Canis lupus familiaris: one gene and its partners. Each later gene encodes a partner of the first gene's protein in a complex. Links are inferred from orthologs where the notes say so. Each region holds a gene or a part of one and is shown in the gene's direction. Other genes may lie near its edges. The genes, in order: EXOSC3, EXOSC1, EXOSC8, EXOSC4, EXOSC6, EXOSC2 and EXOSC7.

Region 1 (4,462 bases):
CGCCCCTCTGGAAACGCCAGCTTCGTCACCGGGACTCCATCGGACCCCAACGCGGGACCCGCACGTCGCAGAAGTCGGTGGCTGCGGCTGGGAGCCGGGCTCTGCACACCCGCTGGAGGCCTCGGCTCCCCACCCACCCGCACGCTGGCGCACCTCCTCCATCCCCAGCCCGCACCGTGCGCTTTCACTCACCCGCGGCCGCAGGGCACCAAAGCCGCGAAGCACAGATGCACGGAAAGGGCCGCACGCGGCTGGCGGGGTGGGGGTGGGGGAGGGGGAGAGACACCAAAGGCGACCTTCCCGCGCGCCCCGCCCCTGGACCCGCCCCGGGGGGCGTGTCAGGAGGAACCCACGCCCCCAGAGCCACAGCCGGCCACTTCCGACCCCAGCTGCGGATTTTTAGGAGACTGCCCACCCCTGGAGCTTGGGGTTTCGTCTCTTTTTTGGGGGGGGGGGGTTTCGTCTCTTGACTAGAGAACCAGTCAGGAGGTACCCACGTGCCACCCCTATCGGGTGGTGGACTTTGAAGGCCTCTTTAGCCAGGTTTGGGCCAAGTATTTTTTCCAAAGACTTCTCGATCAGCATGGGGTGCGGGAGGGACCAATCCTGGGACCACTCCCAACCTCTCTGTCCAGCCCAGACCAGAGGCCATTGAGCTCCCTTTGGGCATGGCCTTGGGCCAGCCACCATCTAGGCGGCCTTGGTCATCGAATACCTACTGGTTGCAGGTCCTCTAGTGCTGGGTTGGAGTGGGAGGAGGGAAAAAAATCTGCACCATCCCTCCTGCCAGGATAAACCAATCAAGATAGGCTTCTACAACACTCTGACTGCAAAACAAGAAAAGTTACGTTTCAGTTGGCCTCTTAATACGCTTACGCAGTCAGCTTGCCAGCACTTTGCCAAATATGGAAGGTAAGTTAGAGGTGATCTGTCTTAAACGTCCCCCAAAACTAAAAATTCACGTTGGAAGCCAGTGCCTCAAAGGGAAAGGCAAAGCCAAACCCTCCCAGTCCCCCGGAGCTCTCAACCCTGCTGGGGAATTTGACCAACCGCAAAGTGGAAATCCTGGTGTACAGAGGAACCTGGATTTCAAGTAAGAGCAGTCCTGATATTCTATGGATTTGGAATCCAACTGCTCACCTGGTCAACTAGTGTGTCTCAAGGAATGTAGCTACAAGAATCTGATTGCAGTTACTGATTTCCCCAGGCCATGTAGGGGTAGGTGAATTATGTGAAAATTCACATGCGTATGTGTATATTTTCAGGGGGAAAAGGTCTGCGGAGAAATACACACTAAAATGCCAATATGCACTGATTCATCAGGTCCTATCTATTTAGGTGACAGAGACTGGGCGACACAGAATTATCTGGCGGCCTAGCAGGAGACAAATGGGGGCAAGACTAATACCTCTTATTTTCTTTCTAGTCTCTGTTTTCCACAGTGTGAATTGATATCTTCTCTAGCAACCATAAAAACAGGTTTTATTTAGAAAAAGGAAAATGCTTTTCCTTCAGAGGGCTGAGTCTTGGAAGGAAAGGATCAATCCCGAAGCCCCTCGGCTCGGTCGTCGAGGTTCCCACGGAACCACACTTGGGAGCGTCTTGTATCCAGCGGTGCAGCCCGAAACAGCGGAAGTGAGGTATTTGCCATCGACTTAAGCCGCGTGTTTCTCGTACTGATCCGCAGAAAGACCGCAAGAAAGGTGACGGGCGGGAGATATTACCGCAGCCACCTTGGCAGGACCCCCGCCCACAGCTCTCAGGTTTCAGGGACGCAGATGGTTCGGTTCCTATAGTCCGCTACTACCGGAAACGGAACGCCTCGGGCAGGCTGGCGATTGGACGCGGGGCCGGAAGCGGAAGCTGAAGGTTGCGTGTGGAGGTTCGCGGTATGGCTGAGGCGGTGGGTGCTGCGGCCGAGTCTCTGCCGGGAGACCGGGCGCGTGCGGCGCGCACCGTGCTGGATCAGGTGGTGCTCCCGGGTGAGGAGCTGCTGCTGCCGGAGCAGGAGGACGCTGAAGGCCCAGGGGGTCCTGGGGAGCGACCGCTGCGCCTGAATGCGGGGACGCGCTCCCGGGGGCGCGTCGTGTGCGGCCCGGGCCTGCGGCGCTGTGGCGACCGCCTGCTGGTCACCAAGTGCGGCCGCCTCCGTCACAAGGAGCCCGGCGGCGGCAGCGGCGGTGGCGTTTACTGGGTGGACTCACAGCAGAAACGGGTGAGTTGGGGGACTCCGGAGAGGTGGTACGGCCGTGAGGGGGATATTCTCGCTCTGCATGGGGCCCTGGACCTCTTCTCTGCGAATGCTGGTCCAGAGCCACCGTAATCTTGTGCGCACCGCTGCATTCCCCTCAGAGGGACTGTGAGCAAATGGAGCGTGGCCCGAGAAGGAGACAAAGGAGACTGGAAATCTTGGCGTCTAAGAGGATAGGGATTGTGAGACAGGGTCATTGCCTACAGAGTCTCAAAGGTCAGGGAGCACCAGAACCAGGCTCAATAAGAGGATGTAACAGGGAGTTAAATTTCTCTTAGAGTAGGTAAGAACTTTAATATGGGAAAGTTTGTCTAGCAATGAAATAGCCTTTCTTGGTTGTAAGGACCCCGTCCCCTGTACCATTGGACTTCATATGCCAGCAGAAGCTCTAGGAAGTTTTTTTGTTTTGTTTTTTAAGATTTTACTTATTTATTCATGAGAGGCAGAGACACAGGCAGATGAAGAAGCAGGCTCCATGCAGGGAGCCGGATGTGGGAGTCGATCCCAGGACTCCAGGATCAGGCCCTGGGCGGAAGGCCGGAGCCAAACCGCTGAGCCATCCAGGGATTCCTGCTCTAGGAAGTTCTGATAAGGAAATAAGAGGTGTGGGATACTGGCTCAAATGAACAGAGTATTAAAAGCTGTAAACCTGAGAGTTTATGGTGTGATTTTTTTTTTCTTTTACTGAGAGTAACATCACATTTGTTGTTGATTTGTATTAATTTGTAAACTTGAATTTCAAAATATTTTTTAAATAACTCTAATGACCACTAAGGACTTATTAAAGATATCTTCCAAGATACCTTGGAAATGATTGTCATCTATGACTGTTCTTTCATTCTGTTTTCTTCTGTAGTATGTCCCCGTGAAAGGAGACCATGTGATCGGCATAGTGACAGCTAAGTCTGGAGATATTTTCAAAGTTGATGTTGGAGGGAGTGAGCCAGCTTCTTTGTCTTACTTGGCATTTGAAGGTGCAACTAAAAGAAACAGACCAAATGTGCAGGTAATGATGGGAACTTTTGGTTTCAAAAAGAAGAAAAGCATACGAATATCCAGAAACACTCAAATAACCAAAAGGCTACCTAAATTGTCTCCTAAGCATGACCTATTTTCCTAGCTCTATGGGGTCATCTCTGAGCGTCTGTGTAATCACTTTGGGGTCCAAGAGTTCCTTCCAGTGCTCCAGCTCTAACCAGAGTCACATACTTATTTTACATTTGCTATATTGGGGGCTGTTTCATCTCTACTGAGTTGAAAGGTTATATTTGTTCTTTCTATTGTTTTTTGTTATGTCCATATCCACTGGACAAGGAAGTAAACCATAAGCTGGGGAAGAAGGAGGAGTAGATGGTGCAAATTGCCATATCAGCCATCTATCCATCCTGATTGACTGGCATCTCACAACTTCAGTCACATCACCATTTCCCAACAGCTTTGATTCTGTCTCTGATATTTTGCATGTTCATCCCTGTATGTCTCCATATTGCAAGTTCAGACCTTAGCTATTTTTTTTACCAGACTTGGTCAGTGACCTCCTCATTAACATCCCTGCCTCTACACTTGCCCTCTCAAAAGCCAACAGCCTCACACACTCTCCTTTCTCCAAAAGAGGAAAAAAAAAAAGTTTCTTTGAAGCCTATAGATTTCATTGGCATTATACTCCAGAGGTCCTTTCTTGTCTATAATTGTATCTATGCTTGAACTATCTCAAACTATTTATTTATTAACTAAAGATTTTATTTATTTATTCATGAGAGATACAGAGAGAGGCACAGAGCTAGGCAGAGGGAGAAGCAGGCTCCTTGTGGGGAACCTGCATCAGCAGGGCTCGATCCCAGGACCCTGGGATCACTACTGGAGCCAAAGGCAGATGCTCAACCACTGAGCCACCCAGGTCCCCCTATCTCAAACTATTTAATAGCACTACTGAATTCATAAGTCCCTGCTCTTGTACCTTTGCTTGTGCTGTTCCCTTTATCTGGATTGCTCTGTCCCCTTAGCTTATGGAACATCTCATCTTTTGAGAACCAGGCTAACCACCACCACCTCGGTAACACCATCCCTCATCAACAGTCACCTTTCTTATAACTTTAGCACCTAAAAAGTCTTAAATGAACTTTGTTATTTATATGTACATCCTCACTGCCCTCCACGACCAAATGCTTCTAAAATACAAAGAATATTTTTATTTCTCTTTAGTTGCCAGTC
Region 2 (4,024 bases), on another chromosome or scaffold:
AAATCATGATCATTGTGGAAGTGCTCTGTCTTATGTGGCAGTCACTAGCCATATGTGGCCATTTAATTGAAATGAATTAAAATTGAAAGTTCATTTCCTCCATCTCACTAGCTACATTCCAAGTGCTCACGTATAGTTGACAGCTGCCTTGTTGGCCAGCACAGAACATTTTAATCATCACAGTGTTACTGGACTGTGCCGGCCTAGAAAGTTCTGGGATAGTGATCAAGGCAGCCAAGTTCAAGCATGCGTAGCTCTTTCACTGAGCTGATTCCCTGAGTATGCAGTTTGGGAAACAGGTGCCAAAGGGTAATAATAATAAGGAAGCCTATTTTTAACATTTAGAAGCTATTTTAGTCTGGAGAGAAGCAAAAGACCTTATAAAGACCTATTAAATTTCATCTTTTAGGGCACCTGGGTGGTCCAGTCAGTTAAATGTCTGCCTTCGGCTCAGGTGGTGATCCTAGGATCCAGCCCTGCATCAGGCTCCCTGCTCAGCAGGGAGTCTGCTTTTCTGTCTCCCTCTGCCCCTTCTCTCCACTCATGCTGTGTCTCTTTCTTTCTCTCAAATAAATAAATAAAATCTTTTTTATTTATTTTTATTTTTATTTTTTTTAAATTTTTATTTATTTATGATAGTCACAGAGAGAGAGAGAGGCAGAGAGAGAAGCAGGCTCCATGCACCGGGAGCCCGACGTGGGATTCGATCCCGGGTCTCCAGGATTGCGCCCTGGGCCAAAGGCAGGCGCTTAACCGCTGCACCACCCAGGGATCCCAATAAAATCTTTTTTAAAAATAAATTTCATCATTTGGGGTGTTTCAGGGGAAATACAAATTAATGCTATACTGATCAGTAACTACAAGACATCCTTACTCTCTGCCCACCCCCATGTTAAGTTAAATCAACTTGAGTTCTTAGTTGCTGTTTATAAATTGTTCCAGCAGAAAATCAATGTGTTATTCTTAAAATAACTGAAGAGGCAGTGATCCAAATATTACACAGTAACTGAAATGTACACTTAAATTCTGTCCACTGGGGATCCCTGGGTGGTGCAGCGGTTTGGTGCCTGCCTTTGGCCCAGGGCGCGATCCTGGAGACCCCAGGATCAAATCCCACGTCGGGCTCCCGGTGCATGGAGCCTGCTTCTCCCTCTGCCTGTGTCTCTGCCTCTCTCTCTCTCTCTCTCTCTGTGTGTGACTGTCATAAATAAATAAAAAATTAAAAAAAAAAGAAATATAAACATTTAAAAAAATTTTTCTGTGCACTGTACCGGGCTCTTGGTAAGATCAGTTAAAGGTCTAGATTTACGGTAATGCCCTGTTTTTATTTGTTAGGCTTCTGTATTTTTCAAGATATATTCCATATTATTTCATTGGATGCCCACAGTAACTTTATTAGGTGGCTGGAGAGACTCTCATTCCATTTGACATATATCATTTATGCAGAATTAAGTAGGAGTTAACTTGTCTTAAATTCTATAATTAGTAGGATTGCTTGGACTAAAACACTGGTAATTCCTTTCTTGCTGCCTCCTTGAACTGACAACTGCTACTACTCTAATGCTGATCTTTTTTCTGTTCCACAGGTCTCTAGCATCAATTCACGCTTTGCCAAAGTGCACATCCTATATGTGGGGTCCACACCACTTAAGAACTCTTTTCGAGGAACTATCCGGTAAGAAGTATTCATGTTTTTGCATTTGCATCAGCACCTGGAATGAGATTAGAATAGAACAGGGATTGAAATTTTTAGGAACAATTACAGTTCCTATATCTACCTGCCTCTCTCTCCTCTTTGTTCTTTGATTCTGTCCAGGTAGTGTCCAAAGGAAATGTTATAATGTATGAGCTAGGACAAAAGGAAAATATTGACAAGATTGGGCTTTAAAATAAAATGAAAAGAATTGAGCTAAGCTGGAAACTAGTGTTGCAGGAAGTTCATATGGAACAAATTAGGGGCACCTGGGTAGCTCAGTGGTTGAGTGTCTGCCTTTGGCTCGGGTCGTGATCCCGGGGTCCTGGGATTGAGTCCTGCACCGGGCTCCCTGCAGGGAGTCTGCTGCTCCCTCTGCCAATGTCTCTGCCTCTTTCTGTATCTCTCATGAATAAATAAAATCTTTAAAAAAAAAAAAAGTTAAAGGCATCTTAAGAAATATCTTCCTTTTTTGTATTTAATATAGTTTAAATCTAAGGATTGAAAGACTTTATTTTTTTTTTTTAATTTTATTTATTTATGATGGGGGGCGGAGAGAGAGAGAGAGAGAGAGGCAGAGACATAGGCAGAGAGAGAAGCAGGCTCCATGCACCGGGAGCCCGACGTGGGACTCGATCCCGGGTCTCCAGGATCGCGCCCTGGGCCAAAGGCAGGCGCCAAACCGCTGCGCCACCCAGGGATCCCGAAAGACTTTATTTTTATTTTTTTTTATTTTTTTAATTTTTATTTATTTATGATAGTCACACAGAGAGAGAGAGAGGCAGAGACATAGGCAGAGGGAGAAGCAGGCTCCATGCACCGGGAGCCTGACGTGGGATTCGATCCCGGGTCTCCAGGATCGCGCCCTGGGCCAAAGGCAGGCACCAAACCGCTGCGCCACCCAGGGATCCCCCGAAAGACTTTAAAAAGGTAAAAAGGTTAGTGGGTGGGCAGCCCCGGTGGCGCAGCGGTTTAGCGCCGCCTGCAGCCCAGGGCGTGATCCTGGAGACCCTGGATCAAGTCCCACGTCAGGCTCTCTGCATGGAGCCTGCTTCTCCCTCTGACTGAGTCTCTGCCTCTCTCTCTCTCTGTCTCTATGAATGAATAAATAAATAAAATCTTAAAAAAAAAAAAAAAAAAAGGTTAGTGGGTGAGGGGCACCTGTCTGGCTCAGTCAGTAAAGCATGTAAGTCTTGATCTCGGTGTTTTGAGTTCAGGCCCCATGTTGGGCATAGAGATTACTTAAAAATAGAATCTTAGAGGTGCCTGAGTGGCTCAGTTGGTTGAGCGACCGACTTGTGATCTCAACTCAGATCGTGATCTCATAAGCTGTCGTCAGATCAAGCCTCGTGTCTGGCTCTGCAGTCAGTGAGGGGTCTGCTTGAGATTCTCTCCCTCTGTAAAATAGGGTGCACGCTCCCCCCCCCCACTCATGGCATATGCACTCTTTCTCTCTCTCTGTAAAATAAATAAATCTTAAAAAAATAAAATATATTTTTAAAAAGGTGAGTGGAATGGTAGGGTTTTGTTTGTTTTTTCCTGTAGGTTTTTAAAGTAGAGACCAACAATTCTTGTGAGCTAGATATAGCTTCTAAGGCTCTTTCCACCCTTAGGATTCCATGTTGGTTCTGTAGTGCTTCTGTACAAGCTTTCCTAAGGCAGCAAAGTTCCTTATTCTTTCCTGCCAAATCTGATCTGCTTTTCTCTAGTCAAAGGTATTGATACTGCTGCTCTGTGTGACCCAAGAATGGGAATGTGGTTTTCTCCTCCAGGGGAGGACTTGGAATGCTTCTCCACCCCACTTCTGGGTGGCCTTTGGGTCCCAATTATGATTTGTTCTCTCTATTCTTGTAGCTCTCTGTCTGCTATGATTCTGCAGGATAATTCTCACAGATAATTAATCTTTTGTTAATTCTTTTTTATAGCAAGGAAGATGTCCGAGCTACTGAAAAAGACAAGGTTGTTGGTTGGTTCTTTTTTTTTTTTCCCCTTATGACTTTAGGAATCTCGATCCTTTTAAATTACTCCAGGGAATTTCAAACATCTGTGGGAATGTGGATCCAAAGGTCCAAGGAATTTTAAGGTGTTTCCTACTGGAAAGTGTGGAATTCACCTCACTGTCCTTTTCCTTTCCTTAGGATTTTTTGTTTGCTCTATTGAGCAGAAGGGGACTACTTTATTCCTTGCCTTTGAAGCCAGGTGTCTATTCTTTGCTATTCCCTCAGATTTACTTTGTATTCTTTCAGAGCCAACTGTAGTAACTTTTATCTAAGATCCGTTACCAGGTTATTGAATTAAAAATTTTTCATTTAAAAAAATAAAAAATAAAAA
Region 3 (4,571 bases), on another chromosome or scaffold:
CACCGAATCTGTGGAGTAGCCAGGTGCTTGTGGTGCTGAGCACTTATGAGAGAGGATACAAATATGTATGAGAAAAAAAAGCCCATGAGGTTAGAATGTGCAATTCTAATCTGGCCACACTATTTCTAACTTATGATATTGGATGAGTTAGAGTTTTAGCCTGTTTTCTCATTTAAAAACCCCCGCCAGACCAAAAAAAAAAAAAAAAAAAAAAAAAAACGGACCAGCCACAAAGCTCATTTTGTTTCCTTAAACTCTCCAAGAAGATTCCAGCAGCAGCTGATGATACAAAACAAGGACACATACTATTTTTCTTCTATTTATGCAGGGAAAGTAGAGAAAATAAATGAGCGGAACTCCTCTGAATAATAAAGAAAAACAATTTCACTCTAAGTCTTTTTCAAATAAATGTTTTAAAAAGTCACTAAAGTAAAAACAGCATCGTGTTGCCACACAGTCTGCAGACATACTTAATTTTAAATATATCATCAGGCAAGAGCATACAAAGTGGTTGGGAGGGTACATAAGAAATTTCTGCTTTCCGTTTGTTCTGGGTTCACCCACCTGCGTGCGTCTGGAGGTAGCGTGTCATGTGCTGGGCTTGCATGCTAACCCGTGATGGAAGGGGACAAGCTGAGCACAGGAGGCCCTGGTGACCTCGACGGCTTGGGCATGGCTGGCACTGCCTCTCTCAACAGATCTAGCCTGGGATCTCTAAATTGGTGATTTAGTCTAGTTTTAACTAGGGACATCATATTGAAAGAGAAATATGGTACCTGTCTCTTTTCCAGATAGCCCAAAGCTTCATCCATCATTACAGGCACTTAAAGAAAAAAAAATACATCTCTGAAAAATTGTTTTCGAAAATGATTTGCCAAGCCCCCACTCAGTTTACATATGGAAAAAGTCTGAATAGTCTAACAGAGCCCTCTCGGACCTCTTCCAGTGGCCCTTCCCAACTAGAAGGCCTGTTTTCTGTCCACAACTAGCTTAATGTCTCTCTAGAACACTTCAGTCCTATGACTTCATGATGCTGACCGTATTCTTTATAGCTGGCATTTGTTTCCACTCTCATGAACTACAACTACCAACTATGCACTCATCAGAGCCCACATCTACTAATGTTCTCACAAAGATAGTAAAGTTCATACTTTAAATTTCCTTTTCTTCCCAATGGCCCCATATCCCAAAAATGAAATTGGGCTTACACCGTTTTTCTTCATTGTATGAAGGCACAACAACGGAGAGCTGTTTGGTAGGCGAGTCCCATACGCTGGGCAAAGTTTCCTTCTGTCCTTTGGCATTTAAGAAGAACTTCTCCTCTTCATGTTGATGGAGATGTGGCATTTTTGTAGCAGTTATAAATGCAACAAAGGAAATCTAAAAGTAGGTATGTTAACAAGAAACTATATTATGTAAGATTACATCATTTATGTGATTTTTATTGTTGTTGTTAAATGTTCACTCTCAGTTTTTAGTCCATTAAGAATGGTCTGGAGGTGACACCAAATTCAAATCCCTTACTTATGAACTAATAATTGTCCTTCTTCCATTGGTAGGAACTAATGCCTTAGGAGCTGTGTCTTCCCACCTGTCATCCCTAGGCCTCTGTCATCCCAGATTTAATAGGGAATAGTCACCAGAGAAGTGCAATCCATTTTAAGATGCCCTGAATCTCCAACCCCTGGCTAATGATGACAACATTCATTTAGCATTGTTTTAAAGATCGCACAACATAAAACATTGAATACAATACCCCCAAATTATAAGTCCTCTATAAATGTTAGCTTTTTAAAAAATTATTTTATTTTCATTTATTCATGAGACAAAGAGAAAGGCAGAGAGACATAAGCAGAGGGAGAAGCTGCCTCCCTGCGGGAAGCCCAATGTGGGACTCGATCCCAGGACCCCGAGATCACGACCTGAGCCCAAGACAGATGCTCAACTGCTGAACCACCCAGGTGCCCTAAATAGTAGCTCTTATAATCACAAGCTGGTAGGATCAAATACTTCCAGTTCATCCTCAAAATGCACCCATTTAATTCTATAAAACAGATAGATCAAATAAACAGAGTCAATTTAGGATTCTGTCAAAACTCTGCCCCCACCAAAAACCTGAGAAAACCTTGAAATCTCCATCTACCCCTAACGGAGAGAGAGGACTCCTTTCTGACCCCGACACAAATCACCGAAGAAGTCAGGACACGTTGCTTTTTCTCTATAAGTTATTTCTAAACTGTGAAGTGTGCAAACCCGGCAAGGCGGAAGAACGGCCTTCCCAGCAGTGCTGTCAGGGGGGCTAATCTGGGTGTCAAGGAAGCTGGAACCTCTCCACGTACTAACTGGATGGCAGGCTCGTTCCAAATTATAAGGGAGAAAGCTCACTTGGCAAACCATTACTAATGAATCAGCAAGTGCTTACAATGTTTGTTTCCAGAGTGATGGCAAAGAAAATCCGAGTCTCAATTCTACTGTGCCCTCCTTTAGAGGCAGCGAATTTAGGGTGTTTAATCCCGGGTCATAGGGACTGCCAGACAACGGTAACAGCAGGCCTGCGTGCCTCGGCCTTACTGTGTCCCTCCTGGGTCTTCTTGATCCACTGATTCACCCCAATCTCTAGCAGATGGCTCTCGTCAAAGCTGTCACCACCTTCTAGTTGCTTCCCCGCATCAGGAGGGTCAGTCCAGGGAGCGCAAACCTCCTGGGGGGGCTCGAGACCTTCCCGGGTGCAGCCGGAACTGCACAGGCTGCAGATGCAGGAGGAAGGGGTGGAGAGGTCGGGACTGACAGGGCAGAGGTCGGGGGCGGCGGGGCCGGTGGAGGCTGACGGGGGCGCACGTCCCCCGGGGAACCAACGTTACAAGGGCCTGGCCGCAGAGGGAGGTAACGCTCCAAAATAAAGACAAAGAAGGGAAGAAAGGGGCTGTGAAGTTCTAGGAGAGGAAATCCTGGTCAAGTTTCGGGGGAGAGCGTGGGGGGAAAGGGACGCGTCGAAGCGTGCGGGGCAGAGGACAGGCTGCGTGGCGGCCGAGTCTCTGAGAGGACGGAGCCCAGGCCCGCGTCGGTCCCCAGCCCTCTGCTCACCAGCGTCAGGGCGGCGGCCGCCAGCGCCACGCCGAGCACAGCCAGCTGCAGCAGGAGCGCAATCATCGTCCATACCCGGCTGCCGCGCGCCCTCCCCAGCGCCTACACACACGCGGAAGCGCCGCCGCGCAGCTCCGCCTCCCGCCGGCAGAGCGGCCGAGCCCGCCCGCCGCCCGCCGCCCACAGCGCCCCTCGCGGCCAGGCGGCGCACACGCCGTCCCTGGCGGCCAGGCTCGCGCGCAGAGGCGGGCGCCGGGTTCCCCGCAGGGCTGACAGAACCCGCAGGCACACACAGGATTCCACCCAGTCGGAATTTCAGGTAGGCAGTGAGCGGCTTTTCGACAGCCGTCTTAAGACAGCACTCACGCACCGTGCAATCCACCCATTAAAAAGGTTTTATTGTATTCCATGAGTCTTTAAAAACGGAGACAGCATAAAATTTGCCATTTTAACCATTTTAAGGGTACGATACGGTGGTATTGGTTACATTCACAATTTCCTGCACCCATTATCTATTTCTAAAACATTCTTCGCTCCCAGCCGCCCCCGCCCCCCGCCCCGTAACAACTAATAACATGTACTATTTGGGGTATACTCATAGTGGGGAAAAATTAGCTTGTGTATCTGACATTAAAAATTAATTGGATGTTCTGTATTCCGTCTGGCAAACCTACCTAGGAGGGAGGTGACGGCTTTGAGAACAAACGCAGCCCACGGCACAAGCTGCTCCTCAGGAGCCCCTCCGGGGGCCCGCAGAGTGTACCGCGGGGCGATCACCAGCGCGCACAGAGTTTACGTGATTGCTCAGCAACTGGAGCTCCAGGGAGCCCTTCCCTTGGGGTGAGGCACGCCCAGGGCCCAGCCTGAGACAGAGGCGGGAAAGGACGCAGGAGCTCTGGAATAATGCCCCACACTTAATACTCACTCAATTCCTGGCAATAAGGTCGGCTTTCCCTTAAACTCCTGAGCTAGCATACCGTTTTTCTAAAGAGACACACCCGTCTCTTTCCCAATAGCAGATTCGACAAAACGCGTCCGAGGCCAAGAAGCCTAGAGGCGCGCTGGGCTCCTCCGAGCGGAGGCGGAACGAGAACCCCCTCGCGGCCACCAGCCCTCGGCCTCTGCAGCAGCGGACGAAGGGCGCAGGCGCGTCTGTCGAAAGTTTGGAGGCGGGGTAGGCGCGCGGCCCGGGGGCGCGGCCTCGCCTGGCGCAGGCGCACGCGCGCGGGCGGGAAGATGGCGGCCGGGTTCAAGTGAGTGTGGGCGGCCGGCGGGCGCGTGTTTGTACTCTGGCGGTTGGAGGCTCCCTTTAACCCTTCGCTGGGATTTTTTTTCACCTGGAGGCCACCCTGCCAGATTCCGGTTTGTTTCCGTCACGGCAGTAGGCGACGGGCAGAAGGACCTGGAGGTGGTCGTGGCGAAAGGAACGGGGGCTTTTTCTCCGCAGTCCGACGGAAGATGGAAGGGACCGTGTGCGGAGCTCGGGG
Region 4 (4,245 bases), on another chromosome or scaffold:
GTAGAGGGAGAAGCAGGCTCCATGCACCGGGAGCCCAACGTGGGATTCGATCCCGGGTTTCCAGGATCGCGCCCTGGGCCAAAGGCAGGCGCTAAACCACTGCGCCACCCAGGGATCCCTTCATTCACCCGTTTTTTTTTTTTTTTTTAATTTTATTTATTTATTTACGATAGTCACAGAGAGAGAGAGAGAGAGGCAGAGACACAGGCAGAGAGAGAAGCAGGCTCCATGCACTGGGAGCCCGACGTGGGATTCGATCCCGGGTCTCCAGGATCGCGCCCTGAGCCAAAGGCAGGCGCCAAACCGCTGCGCCACCCAGGGATCCCGATTCACCCGTTTTATTGCACAGTGGGAGCTGGCGGGAAAGGGGGGGCACACAGCCTGTGCACATCCCCAGGCCCCGGGCGGCACCTCCCCGACGCTCAGCCCTTTGGCTCCGCTTCCCACATTCGCCCTTGAAGCCCGGGCTCAGCAGAGCGGCCAAATAAGGCAGCTGGTGCGGGGCATGAGCATCCTGTCCGGGCGGACCGGGACGGGGAAGGGGATGGAGACTGGGATGGGGACGGGGACAGGACGTAGACGGGGTGGGGGGGGACGGGGACGGGGACGGGTCGGGGGGAGGGGAGCGACAGGGACGGGGACGGAGGGGCGGGGGACGTGGACCGGAACGAGGACGGGGACCGAGTGGGGGTAGGGGGACGACGGGGACCGGGACGAGGACGGGGACGGGGACGGGGAGGCGGGCGGGGGGGGGGGTTTGGTCGGGGGCGGTTCCACGGCGCTGGGCCGCCAGGAGGTGTCGGAACACGAGTCAGGACGGGGTAGGACGCCCGCGACGGCCACTCCTCGGAATCCCGCGGGGTTCTAGCCCGGCCCCGCGCGCCCTCGCCCCCGCACCCGGGCAGCAGCGGGGGAGCATCTGGGCGCGTCCACTCCGCGGGCGCCGAGCGGCCAACCGGAAACTAGTGGGCGTTCCCCAGGGTTATTGGGGCAGATTTCTCAAGGTCTTTTTTGAGTGAAAACCATTAAAGTGTATAAAATGCTCTCATTAAAATAACCGGAGTTCCCAATGCCACGCGGCTGTACAACCGCGTGTGCTCCCGATCCGTCTGCGGTTAGCGTGAGCGGAGAAGAGCAGACGGGAGCACTAGAGGGTGCGGGGGGAGGGATGGGGGGCGCGCGGGGCGCTGAGTAGGGCGTCAGGGGGCGCGGGCAGCGCAGGCGGGGGAGGGGCAGGGGGCGGGGCGGGACGCAGGCCGGAGCCCGCCCCCCCCCCCCCCCCCGAGACCCGGCGCAGGCGCGTGCGGCGTGACCCCGGGAGGCCCGGGGGCGTCAGAACCGCCCTGCGACAAGCCCGAGGGGGCGCGGCCGGCGAGTCTCCCCGCATCCGGTCTCCGCCTCTGGCAGCCGTGGGACAGCTCCCCAAACGGCCGCGGGCGCCGCCTGCCCCCGGGGAAACCGTAGTTCCCCGGGCCGGAAGTGGGTGTCGGACCGCCGGAAGCCGTAGGCCCCCAGAAAGCCGGAAGTGGGGTCGGAGCCGTCGGGAAGTGTAGTTTCGCGGGAGTCGCAAGCGCGGCCAGCCGCCGGAGACATGGCGGGCCTGGAGCTCCTGTCGGACCAGGGCTACCGGGTGGACGGACGGCGCGCCGGGGAGCTGCGCAAGATCCAGGCGCGGATGGGCGTGTTCGCGCAGGCCGACGGCTCGGCCTACATCGAGCAAGGCAACACCAAGGCGCTGGCGGTGGTCTACGGGCCGCACGAGGCGAGTGGGCGCGCGCGGGCGGGGCGGGCGGGGCTTGGGTTCCCCGGCGCTGGGGGTACCTGACCTCGTCCTCCCGGGGACGCCTTCCCGACCGCCTTCCTCTCCTGGGGAGCCCCTCCCCTGCCTTTCCGAAGCCCGTGGGCTCCGCGTTCGACTTCTCGGGAGCGGAGCGTCAACTCCATGAGCGGAGGGACTGTAGCTAAACCCACCTGCTGCTACTGCCTGGCGTCCACGCCGGAGCGGGGAGGATGGCTGGGGCACGTAGCGGGGCGCGTTCGCAGCGGCGGAGATGGGGAGCAACTCGGAACGAGGTTTGGGGGGCTCTAGGGAGGCAGGAACCCGCCGCGCTGTAGGCCAGGGACACGACTTAGGATTTCACGGGTGATGGGGAAGCTTTAGGAGGCGTCAGGACATTGACGCAGCGAAAGTGTATAGGAGATGACATCAACCGGGATATTTTTTTTTAAGCTTTTATTTATTTACTCATGATAGAGAGAAGCAGAAACACAGGCAGAGGGAGAAGCAGGCTCCCTGCAGGACCTCGGGGTCACACCCTGAGCCAAAGGCAGACACGCTCAACTGCTGAGCCACCCTGGCATCCCGAGCCTGGATATTTGTGAACACACCTGCTCTGGCCACGGATGGAGAATGGGTTAGCAGGGGACGAGGCAGGGATGGAAACAAGGAGGCCTGTTAAGAGAAGTAATATCAGACATGATGACTTGGAGACTGGCCAACTGGCCCTCCGATGGAGGTCCTCCTGCTTGCTTATGGAGATGCCGGAAGTAGAGGGAGGGTGACGGGAAGGCGTAGTGTCAGCTGTGGAGGGGTGAGCCTGACTCATGTGTCCTTCCTCCCCCAGATCCGGGGCTCCCGGGCTCGAGCCCTGCCAGACAGGGCCCTGGTGAACTGTCAGTATAGCTCTGCGACCTTCAGCACAGGCGAACGCAAGCGACGACCGCATGGGGACCGAAAGTCTTGCGAGATGGGCCTGCACCTACGTCAGACATTTGAGGCAGCCATCCTAACACAGCTGCACCCACGTTCCCAGATAGATATATATGTGCAGGTGAGCAAGCAGCAGCCATCAACCCAGGAAGGGAGGGGGAAGGAAGGGGAAGCAAGGATGGGAGTCGGGGGACAAGAGCCTAATGGACCGATGCCACTGGGCGGTACTTGCAGGTGCTGCAGGCAGATGGTGGGACCTACGCAGCTTGTGTGAATGCAGCCACGCTGGCAGTGCTGGATGCGGGAATACCCATGCGGGACTTTGTGTGTGCCTGCTCAGCTGGCTTTGTGGACAACACAGCCCTGGCGGACCTCAGCCATGTGGAAGAGGCAGCTGGTGGCCCCCAGCTGGCCCTGGCCTTGCTGCCGGCCTCAGGCCAGATTGCACTGCTTGAAATGGATGCTCGGCTACATGAGGACCACCTGGAACAGGTGCTAGAGGCGGCTGCCCGGGCTGCCCGTGATGTGCACACTGTGCTGGACCGTGTGGTTCGGCAGCATGTACGCGAGGCCTCTATTTTGCTGGGGGACTGAGCATCTGGCCCCCCATGCCCAGAATAAAACTCACATACAATCTGCTATACTTTAATTTCCCCACAGCACTTGCACACCCTCAGATCCTGGCCTGGTGCTTGCTCTGGGAGGTGACTAGGAACCGTCCCCATCCCCCGCACATGACATACCTTTTCCAGCTTCAAGACCCAAACCCTGAAGAGGAAGGTCGGGGAGCCTGTCTGCGGATGAACAGCCATCGTGCTAGGAAAGGTTCAGGCAGCTGAGCAGTGAGGCAGGGCCTGGCATAACGAGCCAAGCTGTGAGACGAAGGCAGTTCTCAGACCAGCACATCCACAGCCCACATCCTCTGGACTATGGCTTGGACTGCATGGCCCCCTCCACCCTGGGAGCCCTTTGGGCCTCCCTAGCCTTAGGCTCGGAAAGCACAACAAATGTTCTCCCCTGGGGTGGTGCGGAGGGGTGGGGAGTCTTCACACATATCTGCGGCGCTGCCTGAGCCCTCACCCGGGCACCTCCTGATCTGAATAGGATTCCCCACTTTCTAGTCCACATACCCCAGGTCTTGAGACCCGTTCTGGCCGAGAGTAGCCTGTGCACCTTCCTCCCTGTGGTCATCTGACCCCGGTTCCCTCGGCGCTGGGCTCCCGCTGAGCTCCCTTGTGCGCTCACTGCCGGTCTGACCTCCGTAGAAATGAGCCTGCCGGCGCCCCTGTGTCCGTGCTTCCCGGTCCTCCGCCGGCCCCAGCCTTCCAGTCTCTGATCCTGTACGTGGGAGCTTCCTAGCCGCGGTCCACAGGCAGCCCGGCGGCCCCGGCCCCGCGCCCCGCCTCCAGCCCCGCCCCCTGCTCCGGGCATGCGCGGCGGCGTGAGGGCCTTCGGGACCGGAAGTGCGGGCGGGCGCGCCGCCTCGGCGGGACGGGAGCGCCGCGCGGGGTCGGCGGCGGGAGTGGGCGGTGAGC
Region 5 (3,542 bases), on another chromosome or scaffold:
AGCTCTCCACCTGCCATGAGGACATTTGGATCTTGGGACCTTTAAACAGCCCTGTCTGTCCTAACCCAGCAGTAACTGGAACTCACGCACCTGGGAGCTAGCCTGTGACTCATTGCTCACGTTACATTTCTGCCCTGAGCCCTCCCTACATACCAGCACCATGTCTAAAACCACTACCCCAGGATTGCTATTTATCATGACAATGCTCGTGTCTGTAGATAAGAGTTCTTTTAGGCCTCTCTGCTGCAGAGAATAAAAGGACTATGTGCAATACTCAATGATGCTATGTGATCTCTTAACCCCCCACCTCTCATAGGAGCCCCCTGTGTAATAGCCTATGGCCCCAACTGGCTTCTGGTTGTGGTCCTCATCGAGTCCAGCTCAACTCCTGAACTTTGGGAATGGCCTCTGGATTACCTGAAGACATTGGTGAAGGTGGCCCATAGGATGGGGAGTTGAGTGGGTGAGATGGAGAGAGTCATTAGTCATTCAATAGAAGATGGGCCATGGGGTTACTGGAAGCACTTTATAGGAGAAGCTCTCCCATTCTTAGGCCTGTGTCCCTCTTCCTCTCCTTTTTGATGTTGAGCAGTCAGGTGTGAGATCAGAGGTGTTCTTAGGGTGCATTAGGTGACTACCCCTTTCCCTTTGACCCATCATTGCTGGTTCCCTGACCCAAAGATGGATAGGATCGATCGGGACCTGCCCTGGTCCCGAATCCCTTCACTCAAGTCTGAAGACAGCTGGGTTTGGAAACTGTTCGCTGGGGAGGTTAAAGGTTCTGCTTGTTTGTGCTAGCTCTGGCTGATTTCGTGTTCCCTGGGTACAACAGTTGGCAGTGGGGCCCAGGTTAACTAGTCCCGCTGACAAGGAAGGAGGCGAGCAGCAGCAGAGGCTACCTGCTCTGGTCACCAGCCTGGGGGTGAGGGCCCGTCCTCGCCGGGAGTGAGAAGCAGCAGGGGGACATGGTTCAGCAAGACGTGCCAGGTGAGGACTCCTAGGGGTACGGAGTGTACACAATCCAGTGCAGGAGAGAGAATGTTCCATTCAACAAGCGTTACTCCTGCCAGGGCACTGAGGAATGACCATGTCTTGGGCAAGACGGGAACACGTAGGAGATGGTCACACGTGTAAGTGCAAAATAATTTCAACCTTTACAAGTGAAAGGACGCAGATGTGCGCCCTGGGGTTGCGCTGGCCCGAGAGGCTAGCGTTCAGGCAGGCCGGCCCGGTCCCCCCGTCGGCCCACCCCCTCGGCCAGGGACCTCCCGGCGGCCCCGCGGCGGCCCCGCGGCTCGGCTGTGGTTCCTCCGGGACGGCAGGGGGCGGGGCGGCGCCGGCCGCCGCTATCCCGACAGCCCTCGCGCGGGCGCGCGGCTTTAAGCGGGCGGAAGCGCCGGCGCCGGGGCCGAGGGGACGGGCGGAAGCGGCTCGCACGCCAGGCGCCGCCATGCCCGGGGACCACCGCCGAATCCGCGGGCCCGAGGAGTCGCAGCCGCCGCAGCTGTACGCGGCCGACGAGGACGAGGCGCCCGCGGCCCGCGACCCGACGCGGCTGCGGCCCGTGTACGCGCGCGCCGGGCTCCTGAGCCAAGCCAAGGGCTCGGCCTACCTGGAGGCGGGCGGCACCAAGGTGCTGTGCGCCGTGTCCGGCCCGCGCCAGGCTGAGGGCAGCGAGCGCGGCGGCGGCCCGGCCGGAGCGGGCGGCGAGGCCCCGGCCGCGCTGCGCGGCCGCCTGCTCTGCGACTTCCGCCGCGCGCCCTTCGCCGGCCGCCGGCGCCGCGCGCCCCCGGGCGGCGGGGAGGAGCGCGAGCTGGCGCTGGCCCTGCAGGAGGCGCTCGAGCCGGCGGTGCGCCTGGGCCGCTACCCGCGCGCGCAGCTCGAGGTGTCGGCGCTGCTGCTCGAGGACGGCGGCTCGGCGCTGGCCGCCGCGCTCACGGCCGCCGCGCTCGCCCTGGCCGACGCGGGGGTCGAGATGTACGACCTGGTGGTGGGCTGCGGCCTGAGCCGCACGCCGGAACCCGCGCCCACCTGGCTGCTGGACCCCACGCGCCTCGAGGAGGAGCGCGCCGCCGCCGGCCTCACCGTGGCGCTCATGCCGGTGCTCAACCAGGTGGCCGGGCTGCTGGGCAGCGGGGAGGGCGGCCCGCCCGAGAGCTGGGCCGAGGCGGTGCGTCTGGGCCTGGAGGGCTGCCAGCGCCTCTACCCCGTGCTGCAGCAGTGCCTGGTGCGGGCGGCCCGTCGGAGGGGCGCCGCCGCGCCGTCCTGAGCCGGGAGCCCGAGCGACCACGGACGCCGAGGACCGAGCTGCCCCCGTCCCCCGAAGGACCCTTGCCGTCCGCTGCCAGACTGCGCGGCGCGGAGAACTCCGGGCGGGAGAGGATCCGACGGGGCGTGCACAGCGCCGGACGGCTGTGTTGGGACGGCTCTTGAGAGACTTCTGTTAAAGAAACGTTTCTACTTGAGCAGGTGCTTCCCAGCTACGACCCAGGTGAAGAAACTTGCGAATGCAGCTTGCCTCCCAGGTTGGGAAGGACTTCAGCTGGACTCATCTGGAGGACGGGACTTGGAACTGTTGTAAGGGATGGACCCTGTGCAGGCCAGCTAGTGACTCCCTTCTATAGACTTGGGCTGCTTTTGAGAGAATGGACAAGGGGGCTGTGCCTTCTCATTTACATCTGAGCTAAAACAAACTCCTTTATATCTGGAAAAGTCTATCGTGGTTCATCTCGGTAGTGAATTTAAAAGAACAAGGTTCTTTTGTGCCCTGTAGTCGACTCCTGGTGTCAAGGGGTTGGGGACAGCATTGTCTTAAATGTGTCCTGTTCCTTAGACCAACATAAGCAGAAAAGACTGGCTGAAACTAAAGGAGGTGCAGGAGTTGGTGTGGGGAAATGTGCTTTGAAGGAGGTGAAGGTGCCCCTAGAGTAGCAGAGTTGGCCATTGCCAAGGTGACAACAGTAGGGAAGGTTGTGTGGGCCCAGGAGCACTCTGGGTGTACTCTGTGGCCTCTGGTTTGGTGCTGGGCAAGACCACAGCTCAGGTTTGGGTAGGTGGAAGGGGTTTGGCTCTGGGTGGAAGCTAGAGGCCTCCCCCACTGCTGCTAAGAAGTAGGGGTCCAGGCTGCCTTTTTTTTTTTTTTTTTTTTAATTTAGAGGCATGCAAGGGGGTTGACAGTGGGGAAGAAGAGAGAAAATTCCACACAGACTCCATGTTGAGCGCAGAGCCTGATGCTGGGCTTGATCTCATGATCCTGAGATCATGACCTGAGCCAAAATCAGAATCTGATGCCTAACCGACTGAGCCCAGGTGCTGCACCAGGTTGGCTTTATTATTTGGTGCCCCTGGTCCAGTCTTGCCTCCTGGGAAAGGGCAGATGAACTTCCAGGAGTAAGAGCTGCTGGTTGTTGGGAAGTCAGATGTGGCCTGGCCATCATTCCATATGGAGAACTGGCCTGAGTGACCACAAGAGCAGGATCTTCCCTATGTGGCTCATGAGCTCTGTGGGTTTGTGCTCAGGTCTGAATTGGAAGAAGGCAGGG
Region 6 (4,489 bases), on another chromosome or scaffold:
TCCTCCAGGCAAGCGTCTGGTATGTGCATGCCCCATGGGGCTCCAGAATTTATATCGTTTACTGCCTTGCAGGATTGACAGGCATAGTTGGGAGCTTTGCTTAGAAAGAAATGTTGGGGTAGCCCAGGTAGCTCAGCGGTTTGGTGCCGCCTTCAGCCCAGGGCGTGATCCTGGAGACCTGGGATCGAGTCCCACATCAGGCTCCCTGAATGGAGCCTGCTTCTCCCTCTGCCTCTGTCTCTGCCTCTCTCTCTCTTTCTCTGTATCTGTCATGAATAAAGAAATAAAATCTTTAAAAAAATAAAGAAATGTTCTCTATTTGGAGACTAATCAAGCAACTGGTCTGATGGATCTTCAGGAGGCAGTGGACCTGATTTACTGAGCATAGTGTGTGTGGCTGATGCAAGTTATTTAATCCTCTTAAGGGTCTTTGTGCATAAAGAATCATCAGCTCCAATTCCCTGAGGTCGAAACGCAGTTTGTTGTGGATGCTATGAACCATGTAGGACAAGGAGAAGGGATAGGGTAGTGGGAGGCAGGGAGAAGGGAGGAGGCAAATGCTCCTATTGAACAGGACACGGAGATAAAGCCACGTATTCACCCTATAAAATACACCCGCCTTGCAAGCTTTGTATATTTTCTTGGGCGGGTTTCTTTTTAAGTCAGAGTAAATCAGCTCATTCAAAAGAAGTTATTAAGAACAGAACCAGCATCTGGAGTACTGTTTGGGGGTAGAGGTGGATGGTTGGTGCTGAAGGAGCACCCACGAGGAGGCAGTAATGCAGTATATTGGGGCTACGAGGAACAGTATGAAAAGGACCTCTTTTTTTTTTTTTTTTCCCAATGAGTGTTTTCTGTAGATGCCATCCCCAGTCTCCCGAGCTCTCTCATACCGAAGAATCACATTTTAGCAACTTAGAGTTGGAAGGTAACTCACAGGCCCATTTCTCAATTACCTCTAACCCTGGTAAACAATGAATAGGATGATGATTACGGAGAGATTTTTGGTGAAAAAAAATCGAACGCTCCGAAACCTGATATTTCATGGATCTGTAGGTGGAGCCTTGCCAATAGTAAAAATGGCAACTTGGCTCCCTCATTCCCTTCGTGTTAACCTAATGGTTGCCAAGAGTAAACATGGCCACCGAACTGTGCGTTCCCATTGGCGGCCGCTCTGAGACCCGTGCGACGGCCGGGAATTGCGGAGCCGGATGTCGCGATTCCAGGCCGAACTGCGCCTGCGCCATTCTTTGGCGCCAAGATGGCGATGGAGATGAGGCTTCCCGTTGCTCGCAAGCCTCTTAGCGAGAGCGTGGGCCGCGATACCAAGAAACATCTGGTGGTTCCGGGGGACACGATCACCACGGACACGGGATTCATGCGGTACGTGAGGACTTGGGGACTCGCGGCCCCAAAGGGCAGCTGCTGGGCTCTCTGCACGTGGCCTCTGTTCCCTTACATCTGAGCACCCGCCGGACGCAGGGCACAGTTGAGCATTCCCGCCCCCATGTTTGCAAGGCCTCGGGCTTCTTACTCTGCGCACCTTGTGTGTCTCCGTCTCCGTTTGCCTCAGTCCTTGGTAACCCTTCTGTCCCGACCACTGGTGTCAGGGACTCCTGGGTTCTCTGCTTGAGGCCCCGATCGCCTTCTTCGTGGGAAATCTGCAGAACTGGGGAAGGTTAGGAGCAGGGGCCTCTTTCCAGTGTTAGGAAGAGGGACCAGTGGGCATTCCTGACCCGGCCTCTTCTCTCGGCATCTGTTAGCCAGGTGCTCGGTTTTGAAAGCAGTAATTGTTTGGGCGTAGGGCATACACAATATATTGTGCTACATGCACCCAAATCTACACGTTGAACCTGAAGGCAGTACAATATGTGTAGTTGAGAGTGCAGGCTCTTGAGCCAGACAATTGGGGTTCCAGCCCTGTACCGTCACATATTTATAAGCTAAGTTGTATTTCCTCTCCGAGGTCAGTTTCCTCATAATGTATTATCACTGTGATAATAACAGTGACTATTTGATAAGAAAGTGAGGATTACATGAGGAAATAATTTAAGAAAAGAAGCGTCTCAGTCGGTTAAGTGTCTGACTCTTGATTTTGGCTCAGGTGTGATCTCAGCGTCCTGAGATGGAGCCTCTGCGCCCCCTCCCCGTCCCCCCCCCCCCCACGCTTGAGATTCTCTCTCCATCTCTGCCCCTCCTTTTTCTTTCTCTTAAAAACAAAGAAGCAAAAAAAAAAAAAAAAACAAAGAAGCAGAACTCACCATTATAGGTAAACACTAGTGGTATTTCAGCCTTTGGGTGGGGGGAGGGGTGTTACAGCATTTACAACATTGCTCTTGAACCTTTTAGTTTGAGGTTATTGGATCCTAAGGAATCTTAAGTGTCCTTCATTCATGAATGAAGTATATGTTTGTCTTATGTGCAGTTGGAGCAGGACTGTGACCAAAGTAGAACTCTCTCATGTTATTTATATTTCGAAACAGATAAACAGTAAGCAGGACAAACAAGTTAGTATGTTTGGTGATAAATTCAGTGGGGAAAATGGAAAGTTGAGCAGGGTAGGTGGAATGTGGTTGGAAATATTGTGGAGGTGGTGGCAGTGGGGTGGGTAACTATTGTAAATGACTTAAAAAAGTCAGATAGGCCAGATAGAGAAAGTGACATTTCAGTAGACTTGAGTAGGACAAGGGAGATGTCTGTGCAGCTCTTTAAAGAAGGAGTGTTCTGGGCAGAGAGACAAACCGGGCTTTAAAGGCAGGAGGAGCCTGTTAAGAACATATTGTTCTTGGGGACGCCTGGGTGGCTCAGCAGTTGAGCATCTGCCTTTGGCTTAGGTCATGGTCCCGGGTCCTGGGATCGAGTGCCACATTGGGCTCCCCATGGGGAGCCTGCTCCTCCCTCTGCCTGTGTCTCTGCCTCTCATTGTCTCTCATGAATAAATAAATAAAATCTTAAAAAAAAAAAAAAAGAATATATTATTCTTGGGGGGAGAGGTCAACTCTTACCATCGTATATTTTGTATCCTACTCTCAAAACAGGGGCCATGGAACTTACATGGGGGAAGAGAAGCTCATTGCATCTGTGGCTGGCTCAGTGGAGAGGGTAAACAAGTTGATATGTGTGAAAGCTTTGAAAACCAGGTGAGAACAAAAGGTGTGTATTCTCTTTCTTGCGCCATTCAGGTTACCAGCCAGGTCTTTTCTGCCACAAAATACCCCTTACCCCCACCTGCTTTATCATTTAGCAGGTCTGTGATTTTGAACATGACTATATAGAAAGGGTATAGGTGACTGTAGTTAAGTGTGGGCTTCCAAGGATCCCCACATTACTTGACCTCTCCAAACCTTGGTTACCTCCTCTGCAAATTGAGGGTAATAGCATGATCTACCTTGTAGGATTTTCACTAGAATTCATTGAAATAAGACATGTAAAGTACTTAGCTCAGGGCCTACTACCTAGAAGGGCTCAATAAAGGTTAGCTCCAGAAAGGAAACCGGTGGTTTTGGAACCTTGTGAGCAAGGGTGGGGGAATGCAGGAGAAGATGCAGGTAGAGAGCCGAGGTGGGCAGACAGCCTGCCTTGTAGCACAGATAGGCATTTTCTTTCTTTTTTTTTTTTTTTCCACAGATAGGCATTTTGACTTCCACTTTATGTAGTCTGGGATGCCACTGGGAGGGTGGAACAGAAGAGGGACATGGTCTGAATTTCTGTCTTAATAAATTCACTCTGGCTGCTAGGAGAGATTGAGGGGGAACACATGCTTAGAGAGACGATTAATGGACTGTTTTTATCATCTGAAGTGATGGTGGCTTGGACTAAGGTAGCAGTAGAAGTGGGTAGTAATGGCGGATTCTGCATACATTTTGTGTTCTGAGTTTTTTTGTTTTGCCCCCCCCCCCCTTTTTTTTTTAAATCATGTAAGTGTGTTGGGTTTAGTATTCTTTGGGATTTTCCATATATTGGACCATGTGTGTGAATAGACATAGTTTTACTTCTTCCTTTCCCAGTTTGGATGCCTTTTATTTCTGTGTATATTTCAAAGGTGGAGCCAGTGGGATTAGCTGCTAGATGTGTCCTGGAACATGAGAGAGAGAGAGATGGAAAGGGAGAGAAATCAAGTATCCCTCCAAAGACTCCCAAGATTTTTGGCTTGAGCAACTTGAGGAATGGTGTTGCCGTTTATTGAGGCTTCACTGGCTGGGCAGGGGCTGCTGGAAAGCTTTGCTTTAGATTGGTGACATTCAGAAATGCTTATTAGTCAGGTAAATAGAGATGCTAGGTAGCCAGCAGTTGACTAGACTGCAATTCAGGAGAATGGCATAGTCCTCAGTGGTATTTAAAGTCATTACTTTGGATGAGCTCACCAAAAGGTGAGCGTGGGCCGACAGAGAAGAGGTTCACAGCATGGAACACCTCATCATTAGAATTGGGATAAGGAACTAGCACAGGGATGGGAGTCGACAACCCTGTGGCTGGTGGAGACCTGAGT
Region 7 (4,024 bases), on another chromosome or scaffold:
TCGGTCAAGCAGCTAGGTATGGCAGGACCAGGCCTGGAGCCCATGACTAATACTCCTAGTGATTGCTCACGCATATACACCTGACCTGCGACTCAGGCAGGAAGGAGGTCTTTGTAAATGATATTTCTGGGCCCTGTTTTCACATTCCTCACAGGGCACTACTGGGGGATGGGGCATCAGAGATTGACCTAGGAAGAAGCCTTTCCTGTTCTATGGGTGAGTTGTTAAAGAGATAGTTACATAGTTTGGGGATCCTCCAGTGAAGAGAGATCACTTTATGGAGTTGGTCCTTGGAGTTCATTTCCTAGACTTGAAATTCTGTTGCTTTTTAAGTACAGATCTCCCCAGACTCAAGATGGGGACTGCCTCCAGGGAGGGGAAGGCCTGGGGATTGGATGAGCAGCAAAGGGACTTCAAGCTGACCTGTAATGTTTATTTTCTCTGCATTAACAGGAGTTGGGATGGGGAAGAGTAGGAACAGAGAAGGTTGGAGCTGGGCAAATGGTGTGCTTTGCTGGATTTCAGTATCTCAAAATCAAAAGTCAGTCATATATGCAGTGAGCCAGGCAGTTTAAAGATAAATTTGTGACACATAGCTTAGAACAGTGTTTTTAAACATTTTGAGGAGCATTAACCCCTTTGAGAATCTGATGAAGCTGAGTCTTTTTCTGAAAGAAAAAAATGCTTTGAAAAAATGTTTACAAAAAATGAGGAAGATCTCCATGAGCTGATGTGTAGTGATTTCCTGCATATGTATTCTTAAGTGTTTAAAAAAAAAAAAGCAGAAGTAGCAAAGTATAAAACAGTATCTCTAGTATGCTTCTCTTCATGTAAGAAAGAAGCGGGTATAAAAAATATTCACATATCTGCTCGATTATGCAAAGGAAGTACGGGAATGATGAACCAGCAATTAAACAGACTGCCTGGGGTGGCTGGGAAAGAGCTAGAAAGAAGGAGGGCATGTAAATAGGGCTGAGGGAAGAGTGGCCTTTCCCTGAGCACACCTTTTCTGATAACTTTGAGCAAAAGAGTCATGGCGATAAGTCCACGTACCCAAAAAGTAAATAAATGATTAAAAGTAGCCACACTGGAGCACTGAGAGCACTAGAACCTCACAGGGGTGCAGAGGAATAGAAGAGCCAAACTGAAGGTTGGGGAAGACACCAGGAAACAGGGTTCCAGATGGGACTGTAAGGCTAAAGACAAAAGAACTGGACCCAAGTACTGTCCTCCATTAGTAAATTTGTTTCTCAAGATTTCACAAATACATAAATACATTGTGGATAATGAGAGCCAGGTTTCTCCCTTTCTGAGAAAGAAGTTACAAATAGGAGGAGGAAGGTTAGAACCAACTTATCAGTGTGAACACATGGCCTTGTAATAGTTATGTGGATATAATAGGTGTGTAGATATAATTATTACGTGGATGGACATAGAAAGAATTACAGCTGTGTGGGTTAGTGTACATCAGTGTTACCTAGTTCCCTTTGCAGAGAAGTTCTGGAAGCAATGATATCCCAGTGGCAATGAACTTACTTAGCAATCAGATCCTGGATTTTAAAGCACTGTTCTTCAATGAAAGGAATCATGACTCCTCAGAAGAAGGGCTAATCCCAGGGCTGGGGCAGGGAAAAATTCAAGAGGCTGGAACATCTTGTCAGAAGTAAAGATGTTCTCAAAAAAGGTTGCAGGCATGTCAAAAGAATGTAGGAACCAACCCAAAGGAACTCCCAGTGGCCAGATCTGGAACACTTTGAGCAGCAGGATAAATAATGACAGTATTGGATTATAACTACAGCATAAAACAGAGATCTGTGAGTTATATTGGTATAAGTAACTAATGGAAGAAGTAAATAAAAGGGGACAAGGGATACGTAGTATCGTAGACCACTCTGAAATCTATCTTCTGCAGCAGGAGTCGACAAACTTTTCCGTGAAGGGCTAGATAAGATTTGGGGCTTTCAGGTTATAAGATCTGCTTCACAATCATTGAGTGTGAAAGCAGCTAGATTGCCTCAAGGAACAGGCGTGGCTGTGTTCCAGGAAAACATTTCAGAGAAGCAGGTGGCCCTCGGGCCTAAGTGTGCTGTCCCTATTCTAGAGAATGCCTGGCTTAGAAGATAATGGCTAGTTATTTTTGTCTGTCCGCAGAGTGGATTTTGTTGAGTTTAGGGGGCAGGAGGGCTACAGCTGAGACAGTTGTACCCGTAGCTCTGACAATACATACTTCCTGGTGCAATTTTGGCATGGCAGATTTGGAAAGAGGCAGCTTATTTTGTCTCTTGTTCAGATTTTGTCTGTTTTGTGTGCCTTTTCGGTATAGGGGGGATGTAGTACGGACTTTGCCACTTTGCCATGCCTGGGTGGAAGCCCACCTTTGGTCTGTGTCACCAGCTGTGGGACCTCAGATACACTGCTTTACATCTCTGAGTCTTCATTTCCTCCTGTGTAAAATAGTAATGTTGTTCCTAGCTACAAGGATAGAATTTTGGATGATTCACTGAGAACGGGATGCTGTAATGCCTAGTTCTCCTGGGAGAAATGGCATGAATGAGTTTAGTAATCTGTTGGTGGTTTGGTTGTGGTTGTATTACAGTTGTGGTTCTTGCACTTTAGGAAGACCTCCGTGTGGATGGCCGTGGCTGTGAGGACTACCGATGTGTTGAAGTAGAAACTGACGTGGTGTCTAACACCAGTGGGTCGGCCAGAGTCAAACTAGTAAGTACTGTGGCTATAGTTCATGCCCATGGGGAGGATCGGCAGGCCCTAGAGAGCCAGCTGCAGACTCCTCTGGGCTTTGGGAGGCATATTTTTCTAGGGAATCCAAGACCCAAGCCAAACTCTGGGAGGGTGTCTGTCTAGGTCTGAAGGACCCTTTACCTTTTCAAAGGGCCACTTCCCAAGTTCCTATGCGCTGCTCCTAAAATGGTCCCCCAGGGGCATAGTCTGTGAGAGAAGGGAGGTGGTTGGGTATCTAGCTACCTGCCCTGAGTGAGGACCCTTCTTATGTGTCTCTGCAGGGTCACACAGACATCTTGGTGGGAGTGAAAGCAGAAATGGGGACGCCAAAGCTGGAGAAACCAAATGAAGGCTACTTGGAGTTCTTTGTTGACTGGTCAGTACTATGTATATATGTATGTTTGTTTTTTAAGTAGGCTCCACACTGGGTGTGGAGCTCAACATGAGGTTTGAACTCATGACCCTGAGATCAAGACCTGAGCTGAGACCAGAGTTGGACACTTTTTTTTTTCCATTTGCAACTATTTACTTCTGAAACACATTATGATAGTCACCATTAATTAATTGCCTACCACATAGCAGGCAATGTGATGAATGTTTTACATACATTATCTTTAATAAGAGTTGGACACTTAACTGACTGAGCCACCCCGGTGCCCCTATGCATATGCTTTTAAAGAAAAATGATTTATTTTATTTTTTAAAAAGATTTTTTTTTGTTATTTGAGAGAGGGAGAGAACACAAACATGAGCCAGGGGTGGGGAGGGAGAGAGAATCCTCAAGCAGACTCCCCACTGAATGTGGAGCCTGTTACAGAGCCTGAGCTCTGTGGGGAGTCTGCTTGATTTTACCTCATGCAGCTCTGAGATCATGACCTGAGCCGAAATCAAGAGTCAGATGTGTAACCAGCTGAGCCACCAAGGTGCTTCTAAAGAAAAACAATTTGAAAGAAGATTGAGAGACTGGACCTCTTGTTTCCTGTTGAGCCCATTTTTATTTTGTATTCAGTCATCATTCCTGCAGCCAGTAGGTATTTCCTGCATTCCTTCTAGGTGTTGGGCACTGGACTATGTGGAAGAAAGCCTTGGCTCAAGTCCTGCCCTTGTGTAGTCACCTAGCCTGTGCTGGGCCTCATTGTCCTTGTCAGAGAGGAGGGCATTGCCAGGCAGCCCAGCACATGGTGGTCCTGAGAGTAGCAAAATGGTGGGTTTTGTGGTGCTTCAAAAAATATAAAATGTAGATAAGAAGGGTCATTTGGTCTAAATGCCATGTTTCTCTTCCTGC

What was found.
Region 2: EXOSC3 (region 1) and EXOSC1 share a complex: the UniProt entries of both Homo sapiens proteins name them as parts of the RNA exosome core complex. The link is inferred for Canis lupus familiaris from reciprocal best matches to the Homo sapiens genes EXOSC3 and EXOSC1.
Region 3: EXOSC3 (region 1) and EXOSC8 share a complex: the UniProt entries of both Homo sapiens proteins name them as parts of the RNA exosome core complex. The link is inferred for Canis lupus familiaris from reciprocal best matches to the Homo sapiens genes EXOSC3 and EXOSC8.
Region 4: EXOSC3 (region 1) and EXOSC4 share a complex: the UniProt entries of both Homo sapiens proteins name them as parts of the RNA exosome core complex. The link is inferred for Canis lupus familiaris from reciprocal best matches to the Homo sapiens genes EXOSC3 and EXOSC4.
Region 5: EXOSC3 (region 1) and EXOSC6 share a complex: the UniProt entries of both Homo sapiens proteins name them as parts of the RNA exosome core complex. The link is inferred for Canis lupus familiaris from reciprocal best matches to the Homo sapiens genes EXOSC3 and EXOSC6.
Region 6: EXOSC3 (region 1) and EXOSC2 share a complex: the UniProt entries of both Homo sapiens proteins name them as parts of the RNA exosome core complex. The link is inferred for Canis lupus familiaris from reciprocal best matches to the Homo sapiens genes EXOSC3 and EXOSC2.
Region 7: EXOSC3 (region 1) and EXOSC7 share a complex: the UniProt entries of both Homo sapiens proteins name them as parts of the RNA exosome core complex. The link is inferred for Canis lupus familiaris from reciprocal best matches to the Homo sapiens genes EXOSC3 and EXOSC7.

What each region holds. Positions count from the first base shown.
Region 1 is NC_049232.1:54,409,259-54,413,720, reverse strand, and holds the start of EXOSC3 (exosome complex component RRP40), read left to right. Parts: upstream 1-1,489; 5' UTR 1,490-1,891; coding exon 1,892-2,215; intron 2,216-3,107; coding exon 3,108-3,257; intron 3,258-4,462. UniProt on the Homo sapiens protein: Non-catalytic component of the RNA exosome complex which has 3'->5' exoribonuclease activity and participates in a multitude of cellular RNA processing and degradation events.
Region 2 is NC_049249.1:10,916,471-10,920,494, reverse strand, and holds part of EXOSC1 (exosome complex component CSL4), read left to right. Parts: intron 1-1,586; coding exon 1,587-1,675; intron 1,676-3,618; coding exon 3,619-3,652; coding exon of another isoform or gene 3,653-3,659; intron 3,660-4,024. UniProt on the Homo sapiens protein: Non-catalytic component of the RNA exosome complex which has 3'->5' exoribonuclease activity and participates in a multitude of cellular RNA processing and degradation events.
Region 3 is NC_049246.1:3,769,451-3,774,021, reverse strand, and holds the start of EXOSC8 (exosome complex component RRP43), read left to right. Parts: upstream 1-1,364; coding exon 1,365-1,390; intron 1,391-2,422; exon of another isoform or gene 2,423-2,946; intron 2,947-3,084; coding exon of another isoform or gene 3,085-3,157; exon of another isoform or gene 3,158-3,225; intron 3,226-3,758; exon of another isoform or gene 3,759-4,212; intron 4,213-4,277; exon of another isoform or gene 4,278-4,320; coding exon of another isoform or gene 4,321-4,337; intron 4,338-4,571. Other genes in the region: ALG5 (dolichyl-phosphate beta-glucosyltransferase), read right to left, coding at 777-823, 1,209-1,380, 3,085-3,150. UniProt on the Homo sapiens protein: Non-catalytic component of the RNA exosome complex which has 3'->5' exoribonuclease activity and participates in a multitude of cellular RNA processing and degradation events.
Region 4 is NC_049234.1:38,326,097-38,330,341, forward strand, and holds EXOSC4 (exosome complex component RRP41), read left to right. Parts: upstream 1-1,368; 5' UTR 1,369-1,591; coding exon 1,592-1,762; intron 1,763-1,822; exon of another isoform or gene 1,823-2,010; coding exon of another isoform or gene 2,011-2,073; exon of another isoform or gene 2,074-2,452; intron 2,453-2,624; coding exon 2,625-2,831; intron 2,832-2,944; coding exon 2,945-3,304; 3' UTR 3,305-3,346; downstream 3,347-4,245. UniProt on the Homo sapiens protein: Non-catalytic component of the RNA exosome complex which has 3'->5' exoribonuclease activity and participates in a multitude of cellular RNA processing and degradation events.
Region 5 is NC_049226.1:76,859,267-76,862,808, reverse strand, and holds EXOSC6 (exosome complex component MTR3), read left to right. Parts: upstream 1-1,450; coding exon 1,451-2,269; 3' UTR 2,270-2,763; downstream 2,764-3,542. UniProt on the Homo sapiens protein: Non-catalytic component of the RNA exosome complex which has 3'->5' exoribonuclease activity and participates in a multitude of cellular RNA processing and degradation events.
Region 6 is NC_049230.1:53,364,138-53,368,626, reverse strand, and holds the start of EXOSC2 (exosome complex component RRP4), read left to right. Parts: upstream 1-1,225; 5' UTR 1,226-1,261; coding exon 1,262-1,383; intron 1,384-3,038; coding exon 3,039-3,140; intron 3,141-4,489. UniProt on the Homo sapiens protein: Non-catalytic component of the RNA exosome complex which has 3'->5' exoribonuclease activity and participates in a multitude of cellular RNA processing and degradation events.
Region 7 is NC_049241.1:43,776,780-43,780,803, reverse strand, and holds part of EXOSC7 (exosome complex component RRP42), read left to right. Parts: intron 1-2,616; coding exon 2,617-2,718; intron 2,719-3,020; coding exon 3,021-3,115; intron 3,116-4,024. UniProt on the Homo sapiens protein: Non-catalytic component of the RNA exosome complex which has 3'->5' exoribonuclease activity and participates in a multitude of cellular RNA processing and degradation events.